3 linked regions of the Danio rerio genome follow. The protein of the gene in region 1 purifies or fractionates together with the protein of each later gene. This does not show direct contact. Links are inferred from orthologs where the notes say so. Each region holds a gene or a part of one and is shown in the gene's direction. Other genes may lie near its edges.

Region 1 (4,131 bases):
AAGCAGAATTTCACACTGTAAAACCCAATAAGTTAAGGTAACTCAAACCATTTGAGGAAACCGATAGGAACAAAACATTTAAGTTCAAAAACTAATCCTAATGAGTGCTGTGAACTTAATCTATTTGAGTAAATGAACCAATTTGAGCACAGTAAACTCCAATAAATGAAAAGAACTCAAACCAACTGAGTACTGTAAAACCCAATACGTTTTCACTGTAAAAAGTGATTAGTTACTTAAAGCGAGTACACTAACTGCCTTAAAAGCAACAAGTTGACTTTACAAAAATAATGTAAGTAAACTCATTGTAACTTGGAACTGTAAAGTTGACTTAATTTTTATATTCATGCTAATTGTACTTAATTTTTAAAGTCAACTAATCCCTTTTTACAGTATCAGACTAATTTAGCACGTCTGTTTTTAAATAATTACTGTAATTATCACAGTAATACATATTTGATGCTTCATTAAGTCTATAAATTACACTTATAGCCTGTATTAAGGTAATAAAACCCACTGGAGTCTGGAAGAGCAGATTTATGAAACTGTCATTGTCCTGTAGATACAGAAAAGTTGGGGGGAAAAAAACTAAATACAATAAATGGGAAAAAGTGATTAGTTTACTTTTATTTTTAAAAAGTAAGTACAATTTGCATAATTATAAAAATTAAGTCAAGTGCAGTTTCAAGTTACTATGGGTTTAAACATTGAGTTCAAAACTCTTTTCAAATGAGTAGAACTAACTTTCAGTAAATTTTGAGTCAACTACACTCATTTTGTGTGATCAAGTTGACTGTTGGGTTTCACAGTGTGGTTCCTGGAAAAAAAAGGGTAAATCTTTTAACTATTTCTTGCAAAAAGGATACATTATTATAATATCCGATATAATATTTAAAAATGAAATCTGATAAACATATAATTAAAATGTGAACACATCAATTATGATTAATCTATTTATTGAAAACATATAAATATAAATAATATTTATAATATTTTTCCATACAACGTGAAAATAATAATAAAATATAATAATAATAATAATAATAATAATAGGCTTAATTTTTAAATCAAATATTTAAATTGTTATAATATGGATTATATTATATTATATTTATTGCGTATTTCATTCATTCATTCATATTCTTAGTTCCTTTATTAATCAGAGGTCGCCACAGCGGAATGAATCACCAACTTATCCAGCATATGTTTTACGCAGCGGATCCCCTTGCAGCTGCAAGCCATCATAAGCTAAATTGGCGGTAGTACATGTGTGTGAATGGGAGTGTATAAGTGTTTCCCAGTGATGGGTTGCAGCTGTAAGCGCATCCGCTGCGTAAAGCATGTGCTGAATCAGTTGGCGGTTCGTTCCGCTGTTTTTTTTAATACACCAGTGATTACTTTCAAAGTAGCCTACATTTAATCTATAATTGTAATACTGCAAGCACGTTGATAATATTAGAAGACTACTATAAACCATATGGCTCATTCGGCGATATCTATTATATAAAGCTTTTTATATAAACACTTCAAACTGCTTGGCTTATAAAAAGGCAGTGAAGCCCTTGTGCATGTTAAAAAGCTTGGCGCAATCGGTAGCACGGTTTTGCGCATGCGCACCAGAACATTTCTCTCAGTTCATAACGTCGAGTGTCCACGCTGTTCACAGAAACACAACATGTCAGAAAAGAAGCAAACAGTGGATTTGGGGCTTTTGGAGGAGGATGATGAATTTGAGGAATTCCCAGCAGAGGGTAAGTGAACTGAAAATGAACAGAAATTAGCTTTTTTTTGCTCGTTTTAGAGATAATAAACATCCACGACAGGACAGTGACTCAGCTAGCACAGCTAACGTAGCATGCTAACTGACAAAACATTCTTTATACAGCAAATTGTTAACATATCGTGTTTTTTAAAGGAATCTAATAATTATAAATTGTTTATACGTTTTTAAATAATACATCTGAGCGTGTTCTAAGTTAGTCCACAGCCGTGGAAAAAAAACGTTTTAGTAGTTAGCATTTTAGCATCTCTGAAGCTAATGTTATACATTGTGTACACTTGTCATTTGCTCAATTTGAAGTCAATGACTGCTTTTGTTAAACGTATGTATGTTTAATGCTCTGTACAGTCTGTTCTGTGACTCTTATTTGTGCATTAACATTAAGTCAACATTGAAGCCCGTGTTAATCATCTTATTGAACTGAGCTGTTGTCTCATTCTCAGACTGGACGGGCCTGGATGAAGATGAGGATGCTCATGTTTGGGAAGATAACTGGGATGACGACAACGTAGAGGATGACTTTTCTAATCAGCTGAGGTAGGAGATGCATTATCAATGTATAAATTATGTATATGAAATACGGGGCATGCTTTATTGTTGCACTAAATAAGGAGTATACTAGTTTAATCTAACTTCACAGTATGCAATTCCTGGTAAACATTATGGTGTTCTAGTGTCTCTTATAATCTGCTAGCATATTAACTTTCTGTCAAGCCCACATTTTGTCTAAAGAATTTGGTGTGGTTAAACTAATTTAGAAGAAAACCCTCCCTAAGGGAACTAATAGTCCAATGGCTAACCGACATTCATGGTGGCCTCAAACCACATTCACAAACTTTACTATCTGTGAGGACTTGGCCCAAGTACATACAGGCATTTAATATGCTTACATAGATGTTTAAAAGTATAAAATATAAGAGTAAGTTGCTATGTTATATAGTTTATGCTTCCTATCAAGGTTATTATAATTAAACATTTAACTATATATAAAAAAATGTCACTCGAAAATCTGTAAAAAATAAATAAATAAACCTTTGGTATATCAGTTTGTTGCTAATGTAAAAAGTTTTGTACTAAATTTTGTATGTACTATAAGGAAAAACATAAGCTGGAATCTAAATAATAAAAATTAAATGGGGATATTTGTTAAAAAAAAAGTAATGTTGTAAATACAAAAAAAAAACTTTATATCAAATAAAATAAAAAGAGCTCAGTTATAAAAACATAAATATAACCTAATCTTTGAGAATACCTCAAATAGAAATTCAAATAAATTTATACCAGTTTTTAAAAGGTTGATTAAAACACATTTTTAGAATTTAAATTTTTTAAAAATGGAAATAGAAAATTGAAAATAAAATCTTATTAAAAACTAAAATTCTATATAAAATTACTAAAATCTAATTATAGTAAAGTAACTTTTTTTCTCGGTACATTAAATTAAATACATTATTTTCTCTTTCCTGATGCTTATAAATAAAGCCAGACATTTTTTGTTATTTCTGCGCAGAATTATTTTAAAAATCTGTGGATTTATGCATAATGATTTTAGTAAAACTGTAACAAAACTTAAAGTATGAAATAAAAAAAAGAATATTTTTTTAAACTTTTTTTTTTTAGTGCTTAAAATGCAAATTCATATATGTAGATCCATTTATTGGGTAAACAACACAAGTCTGTCATAAAATATCCAATAAAAGACAGAAATTATTACTTTAAAAATTGTATTGTGAATAAATCAAAAGACCAATTTTTTTATATTAGGTCAATATTATTACAGAAATTGATTAAAAAAACTAAATAAATATAAATTTACTCACATTTACACAAGTAAATAAATGGACTCAGTGGTGGAATAAAAATCTGTGGTAATCTGTGTGCACAGATTTCATATGGGCCTATATATAAGCAATAAATCTGTTGACATTTCTCACAAATTCCCCATTTGATTTCCAGCACTATAAAAACTAACAGTTATAAGGGCTGTGCGATTTATTTGAAATTAGCATTTAGTTATGTACAATATTTTTGGATTATTTCATTTCCCCCGCCCAGAGCAAATGCGAGATTGCCGTCTGTGTGTGAATTCTTACTATCTAATTGAGTGAGCACACTTTCTGCCCAATCAGAATTGAATAGAATTGAACTCTGCGAAACGCCCATGATAAAAAACAAAAACAGGAAAGCGCAGACAAGTGGGATAATGGTATCTGCTGTTTCAAAAGCAATAATGAATTAACATAAAAGAAAAACAGCATTTGTTAATATGCGAATGTTTTGGTTTCAAACTCGCAGACACTGAACCAAACCAGGTCATTTTTAAGAGCTGTTGCAGAATTGTTGCTATTACT
Region 2 (3,660 bases), on another chromosome or scaffold:
AAAGCCTTAAAGGAAAAAATCGAGAATGAAAAGGGAAAAGACGGGTTTCCAGTGGCGGGACAGAAGTTGATATACGCAGGTGAGTCCTTTTTTCACCCGTTTCCACTGAGTGGTACAGTACATGGTACGGATCACCTTTATTAGGCTTGCGTTTGTACTGCCGAAAGGGTACCAAAGGCGGGCGTACTGTATGAGCGAAAGTTTCAGTCGACGTCATTCTTGCTAGAGGGAATGTCTACAGTAAAGCTGCACGGGTCGTTCACAGATCATTTGAGAAGCACTTCTCACAAAACAGCTTTATACACATAAATACTGTATAAATGTTCATTACTAATCTTTCTATCAACATGATCTGATTATAACTGCAGATCAATGACCGTGTGCAATAGCCTACTGTAATGTCTGATTATATAAACATATAAACGCATACAGACCCTTACAGTTTCTGATATGTGACCAATTACAGAAAAGACTACACACAGCAGACATTTAGTCCTTCGTCAGCACATGTAGCCTCTGTTAGAAAGTGTTTCCGTCATTCCCAGTTCATTATAGGCTTCTCCTTTGTTTTTTCACGCTTCACTCTTGTGTTTGTCCGCTTCTGAAAGGATCAGATGTCAGAGGCTCTTCAATAATCAGGCATGTTATTGTCATCAGCTCAAGAAGTTTGTTATTTTAAATAAAGACGTGCGGTGAGCACAAGCAGAAAGTGAAACCGCTCAGGATATGGTCAGCCTTGTAAACAACTATGGGGCACAGGGTAGTTCTGCTCTTCTTCTTGGTTTTGTGGCTGTACATCAAGATGACGACAGTTTGTTTGAGCTCGGCTCGACCATGGCTTGTTGTATATATTATTATGGTGTAATGTCTCAGCTGTGTTTTTGAAAATAGCAATTCCTTTGTTTTCATTCTTCTGACTCTTTGCATGAGTGAGTGACGTATCTCTGTTAACCTTCCGAAAGGGTACCCAAAAAGTGGTAGGGTATGGTTACCAGTGTAAAACGCCATAAAAGCGTACTGAACCAAACCACTCAGTGAAAATGGGCCATTTTTTTCCAGTGTTAGATTGGACGGATGTGGCCTGCTGTTACAGGGGATTTCCCCATAGTCTGCATTTGTTGTTTAGTTCTTATACCTCATTGTATTGGAAAAATCAGACATTGTGATATTTTGGTTTTTAGCAATTCTATATTATAATATGGGTGTGTAAATATAAGAACGATATAACTATAACATTTCACCTGATAGCTCTATTTGGAAAGAAGTCATTAATTTAGATTGATTGGGATGATTTTGCATGCATGTGCATCTGCAAAATATAATGACGTTAAAAGCATATATAAATGCAATATAGCACAGATGATCTTTTGAAGTCAAACAGAACAGTAATTCAATAATTAAATCTAAAATGATACTTTATAGTCTTTATTGTGTGATTAAATCATCGTTAAAGCCACAAACGTTATAATTTCTTGTGCCTAAATGGTTTAAACTAACTTGGAAGTCTTGACATGGGTCTTAAAACACATCTGAGATGAACAACTTTCATTCTGTTGGGGTTAAAGATTGCAGTGAACTGTGTTGCTGGTTATTATAATCCCAATTTAACATTGCAGATCCTGTAGTGTGATCCTTGCAGATTCACACAATGCCATATCAATGCTGAAGCGATATATTGTTTAGCCCTAATGTTGTGTCTTATTCTTTAAATCTGCTTGCTTGTATAACTACTTTAATTTACCATTGCATATAAAACATGCCAAATAAATAAACTTGCCTTGCTCATAATGCCGTGATGTATAATAAGTGTTAATGCAGGGCTGGAGTTTGACAGATGATTGACAGGTTGAGAGTTGATGAGTCATGTGCTGTTTACTTGAATTATTGTTGCAGGTAAAATCCTGAGCGATGACACGGCGCTCAAGGAGTACAAGATAGACGAGAAGAACTTCGTGGTGGTTATGGTCACAAAGGTGAGGCTTTATCAGTGTGTGATTGTGCAGAGGTATTTACGATGCGTTTGGGTAATGACATTTCAAATGTTAAAGAGGAATTCATAAAACATACACAAGTATAATGTAATGGAGTAATACATGTTATTGTTTAGAGATTGAAGCGGTGTATAAAGGGGAACTCTTGTGCACTGATGACTTTTATAAGGGGATTAAACAGTTGTGTGTTTGTTTATTATGCATGAGTGATGCACTTACATAGAAACAAAAGCACCCAGCCCTAGTTTGTAATGCTGAGTGAATACTGAGAATGTGATGTGTTATTGTGTGTGTGCAGCCTAAGTCAGCGTCTGCGCCGGCTCCTCCCTCCTCCTCCTCCTCTTCTTCCTCCAGCACTACAGCATCAGCGTCTGCGGCTCCGTCTGCAGCTCCAGTATCTGAGAGTCCGTCTGAAGAAGAGAAGAAACCCAGCGAGGAGAAACCCAGCAGTGACCCAGCACCCGCCACCACACCTGTCAGGTAGACACACACACCCAGCAGTGACCCAGCACTCGCCACTACATCTGTCAGGTACACACACACACACACACACACACACACACACAGCAGTGACCCAGCACCTGCCACCACACCTGTCAGGTAGACACACACACACCCAGCATTGACCCAGCACCCGCGACTACACCTGTCAGGTAGACACACACACACACACCCAGCAGTGACCCAGCACCCGTCACTACACCTGTCAGGTACACACACACCCAGCAGTGACCCAGCACCCGCCACTACACCTGTCAGGTAGACACACACACACACACACACACACACACACACCCAGCAGTGACCCAGCACCCGTCACTACACCTGTCAGGTACACACACACCCAGCAGTGACCCAGCACCCGCCACTACACCTGTCAGGTAGACACACACACACACACCCAGCAGTGACCCAGCACCCGTCACTACACCTGTCAGGTACACACACACCCAGCAGTGACCCAGCACCCGCCACTACACCTGTCAGGTAGACACACACACACACACACACACACACACACACCCAGCAGTGACCCAGCACCCGTCACTACACCTGTCAGGTACACACACACCCAGCAGTGACCCAGCACCCGCCACTACACCTGTCAGGTAGACACACACACACACACACACACACACCCAGCAGTGACCCAGCACCCGTCACTACACCTGTCAGGTACACACACACCCAGCAGTGACCCAGCACCCGCCACTACACCTGTCAGGTAGACACACACACACACACACACACACACACACACACACACACCCAGCAGTGACCCAGCACCCGCCACTACACCTGTCAGGTAGACACACACACACACACCCAGCAGTGACCCAGCACCCGCCACTACACCTGTCAGGTAGACACACACACACACACACACACACCCAGCAGTGACCCAGCACCTGCCACTACACCTGTCAGGTAGACACACACACACACACACACCCAGCAGTGACCCAGCACCCGCCACTACACCTGTCAGGTAGACGCACACACACACACACCCCCAGCAGTGACCCAGCACCTGCCACTACACCTGTCAGGTAGACACACACACACACACACACCCCCAGCAGTGACCCAGCACCTGCCACTACACCTGTCAGGTAGACGCACACACACACCCCCAGCAGTGACCCAGCACCTGCCACTACACCTGTCA
Region 3 (3,660 bases), on another chromosome or scaffold:
GTTGTGCTTCCGTAGGTTCACTCTCAGAGGAAGGGTTGCTGTTATACCTGAATGCTCTACAGACGCTTTTGCCTTTGTTGCCAGTGACAGAGTGTAACAGTAGAGCTGACATCAACAGTGATTCAGAAGATGAGGAGGAAATGACCGTACAGCATCCTGCAGCACCGGTACATGCGCGTTCTCGCTTATTCACATCTTTACAGCATAGTTTACATTTTGATCAATTGTGTCATTTTTTTAAAGGATGGCAGTTGGATATCTGTGCATTACATAACGGAGGAATGTGTACAGAAGTTGGACACCAAGCAGCAGACTAATGCTCTGTTAACATTAGTGTGGAGAGACTCGGCAAGTGAAGATGTCTTCACCATGATGGCCTCCATCTGTCACACGTTGATGGTGCAACACCGTATGATGGTGCCACGAGTCAGGTCAGATACACAATAGACTAAAACCTAGTAAATTAACCTCACAGTCATCATCACATTGAGGGCGATGAATCAAAGGCAATTTTTATTTTGTTGGTAAAGCCAGTTCTAGTAAGCCTCCAGCATGAGGTGTCAGATGGAGGAGATTTTACTACACGGAGTTGTAGTTCACTGACAAGCTACGCAAAAACAATTTAATTGAATATGACATTGCAATAATAGTTCTGTCATAGTTACAGCTGTTATTGTTAGGGTTGTCAAAAGTATTGACTTCAGCACCAATGAATAATGATTTTTTTTCTTTTTACGCCCTGTTGAGGAAGTTCTTAAACACTGTGTTAAAATGCTCAACAGATGGAAATTACCTGGATTTCTTTTCCATTGGTGGAGAGTGTGGGCTATTGATCACTCAACCGTGCTTTCCTGACAAGATGTGCATGAAAATTAGGGATGCACTGAAATTTCAGGCAATGAAAATTAGCAGCAGAAAAAGATATAGAGAAAAATATCAAAAATAAAGTCTTAGTCAAAATAAAGGCTTAGATGTGCTGTGCAGATTTCACACTGGATGTGGAATGATATGTTCTATGAAACCAGCCAAAGTCGCAGTTTGAAATAGCAAAATTTTCCGCTCTGTGAATATTCTGCTCATGTACCAGTTAATATTTCTATGCATGTAACACACAAGCTTACCTGGAAAAGCAAAGTCTGCTCAAGTAAATTGCTGTCAGGACATTTTTACATAGTGTACTTGTTCCTCCTGCATGCAATAGTGTGTTGTCATGGCAAAGCTGGTAAAGTGACTAATGTCAATAAAATGTGACTATTGTCTTAAATAAAAAAATAAAATCAGTATTGTTTAAGTTAAATTCTAAAAAATCTGACAACATTAATTTTTTTTATTAAATAATAAATAATTATTACCAAGTAGTTACAGTTTTTGGCCAAGTACATCTAGAATTTTTTTTAGGGGGTTTTGATGCTGATTTTCCATTGCATTACATCTTTAATAACTTGCATCTTTCTAAACTGTGTTTGCAATTTCATTTTAGTTAATCACTAACCCTAACCTATGGGCTTAACATTTAGACTTTGATTCAGTGCACAGAGAAAACCTTTTTGTTGCAAGATAGGTTTTTTTCTTAAGTCTTGAAAGAGCTGTAGATGTCCATTAAATGGAAATACATTAAACTGTCCTTAAAGGGCCATGAAACCCCCTCGTTTCAGCAGGGTGTTTTCACACCTCTACTTTGGAAAAAGTCAGAAAAGTGGGCGTGTCCAGCTCTGTTTAGGGGGGAGTGTCGGAGGAACTAAAGTGGGATGGTGTGGGAGTGTCTATTTAGGCACGCGTGAGTTTCAGAGTCAAAATCAACACACAGGAGAAAGTGATGGTGTTTAACCTACATGGACATCTGTAGTCGAATTATTTGCCAAATTATTAAATGTTGGACTTTAACTGCTGTTTGGCTCTTTCATTCAGGGAATTCATTCATGCCCCTCGCGACAAACGAGATATTTGATTCGAGGAACTGCTCTAAGCGTGTATTTTTCATGCAATGTTTGATACCGCACGGCGAATGAGAGAAAAAAACCCTCAGCATTTCCCGGAAACTTAGATGCACACGGCAGGTAGCGTCAGAAAGCCGTGTGTGTTATTCCGGTCACTAAATGCGGTAAAAACCCTACACGAGATTAAAGTTTGGTTGTGGTATTAACATGTTTACACTCGGTGCAATAGTTAACTTAGTTCAATACGAACAAACTGAATAAACAGAGCACTGGTTGCTCACTTACCAAATCTGTAGAGACAGGACAATCAACAGCAGCTAGAGCCGTGTCTTTATTAAGAGAAGACTATAAGCGAATCCGGATCTCAGCGTTTGCAGATGAGAACAGCTCTCAGGTAAACAATAATCCTCCTTAGACACGTAAGTTATTGTTGTCGAGCGTCGCGTAGACTGTTAATCCACACGTGACTCTGAGCTCTCACAGAGAGAAAATGAAAACAAAACTTAACGGCAGCAAACTATAAAAGCAACACTTCACGCTTGTTTTGCCAACACAACGTGGCGTCTCTGTCGTGTAAATACGGTGACACTAATGAATATTAATAAAGTTGCACAATAGAGCGCGCTGATTGGTTTAACCAAGCTTTACTCATGCATTTATGCAACACACTGTAAGACGTAATAAGACTCACTCTGGCACAGACGCCCAGTCTGCACGCTGGAATACAACGCTATTATGTCATGACCCTTGACACAGCTTTAAAAATTCGTTTCAAACCGGAAGTACGAATTTGCTTGAAATAACGCAAAAACAACCAATTTACACTTTTTAGTGAAATATAGGTGTCCTAATAGTGTTTTTAGCAGTGTGGGACACATATACGACTGTCAACAGCTCAAAACATGCGTTTTGGTGTTTCGTGACCCTTAAAGCATTTGAGCAGGCTGTGTTACTTTTTTGATCCTTCCTACTGCTAGTTTTTAAAACCTAAAAGCAGTAACAATTCTGAAGACACAGACAATTAAATCTAATCTTTTTTTCTTTTCTTTTAATTGCCAGGGCAGTTTTAGTTGCTGTCAGTCATCAATTAGTGTAATGTGCTCTCCTCTACAATCCTTTCTCCTCTACGTACTTCTGATCCTGCAATGTTGACAAAATGAGACCAGGATTTCAGTTTGAGTAAACTGAGTGATGGAGAGAAGAGATGGATGTAAGAAGACAGGGAAGAGAAGTTTGTCTGGTTTAATGAGGAAAGGATATTGATAAAGGCACTGTGCATTAAAAGGCAGTGCCAATCAGCTAAATCAGAACTATTTTGAAGATTCCACACATGTAGTGCCTTTAATCCTGCAGAATAAGTGCTCACAGCGAGCTTATGATGTGTTCTCAGTATTAGAGATCTACGATTTCTGCATTATGTATTGAAATCAATTCTTAAAAAAATCCCCTAAGGCCATCTAGTTCTAGGTCATTTTTTTCTTCCAATTTTTTTATTTAAAAAAAAACAACAACTTTTATTTAAAAGATTTACAAATTGATTTATCACAGTATGTCCAAATCCCTGTTAGCTAATGCAGTTCTTAAAAGCTGACATTTTGCATTTTCTAATAAAAAATGAAAGTTTTAGTTGATGTTTAGTTCAACTCCATTACTATAGCAATTTCAAAACTTTTAAAATAAATGACAAAGCATAAATAAAACATAAATATAACAATCTCAGAGC

The links.
Region 2: the proteins of sem1 (region 1) and rad23b purify together in Homo sapiens (co-immunoprecipitation; 3 studies listed by BioGRID and IntAct, with this or other methods). This does not show direct contact. The link is inferred for Danio rerio from reciprocal best matches to the Homo sapiens genes SEM1 and RAD23B.
Region 3: the proteins of sem1 (region 1) and ube3c purify together in Homo sapiens (affinity purification with western blotting; 3 studies listed by BioGRID and IntAct, with this or other methods). This does not show direct contact. The link is inferred for Danio rerio from reciprocal best matches to the Homo sapiens genes SEM1 and UBE3C.

Annotation. Positions count from the first base shown.
Region 1 is NC_133194.1:44,123,187-44,127,317, reverse strand, and holds the start of sem1 (26S proteasome complex subunit SEM1), read left to right. Parts: upstream 1-1,315; 5' UTR 1,316-1,675; coding exon 1,676-1,751; intron 1,752-2,223; coding exon 2,224-2,317; intron 2,318-4,131. UniProt on the Homo sapiens protein: Component of the 26S proteasome, a multiprotein complex involved in the ATP-dependent degradation of ubiquitinated proteins.
Region 2 is NC_133196.1:588,757-592,416, reverse strand, and holds part of rad23b (UV excision repair protein RAD23 homolog B), read left to right. Parts: coding exon 1-79; intron 80-1,893; coding exon 1,894-1,973; intron 1,974-2,289; coding exon 2,290-2,471; intron 2,472-3,660. UniProt on the Homo sapiens protein: Multiubiquitin chain receptor involved in modulation of proteasomal degradation. Binds to polyubiquitin chains.
Region 3 is NC_133182.1:40,969,317-40,972,976, reverse strand, and holds part of ube3c (ubiquitin-protein ligase E3C), read left to right. Parts: intron 1-15; coding exon 16-167; intron 168-243; coding exon 244-431; intron 432-3,660. UniProt on the Homo sapiens protein: E3 ubiquitin-protein ligase that specifically catalyzes 'Lys-29'- and 'Lys-48'-linked polyubiquitin chains.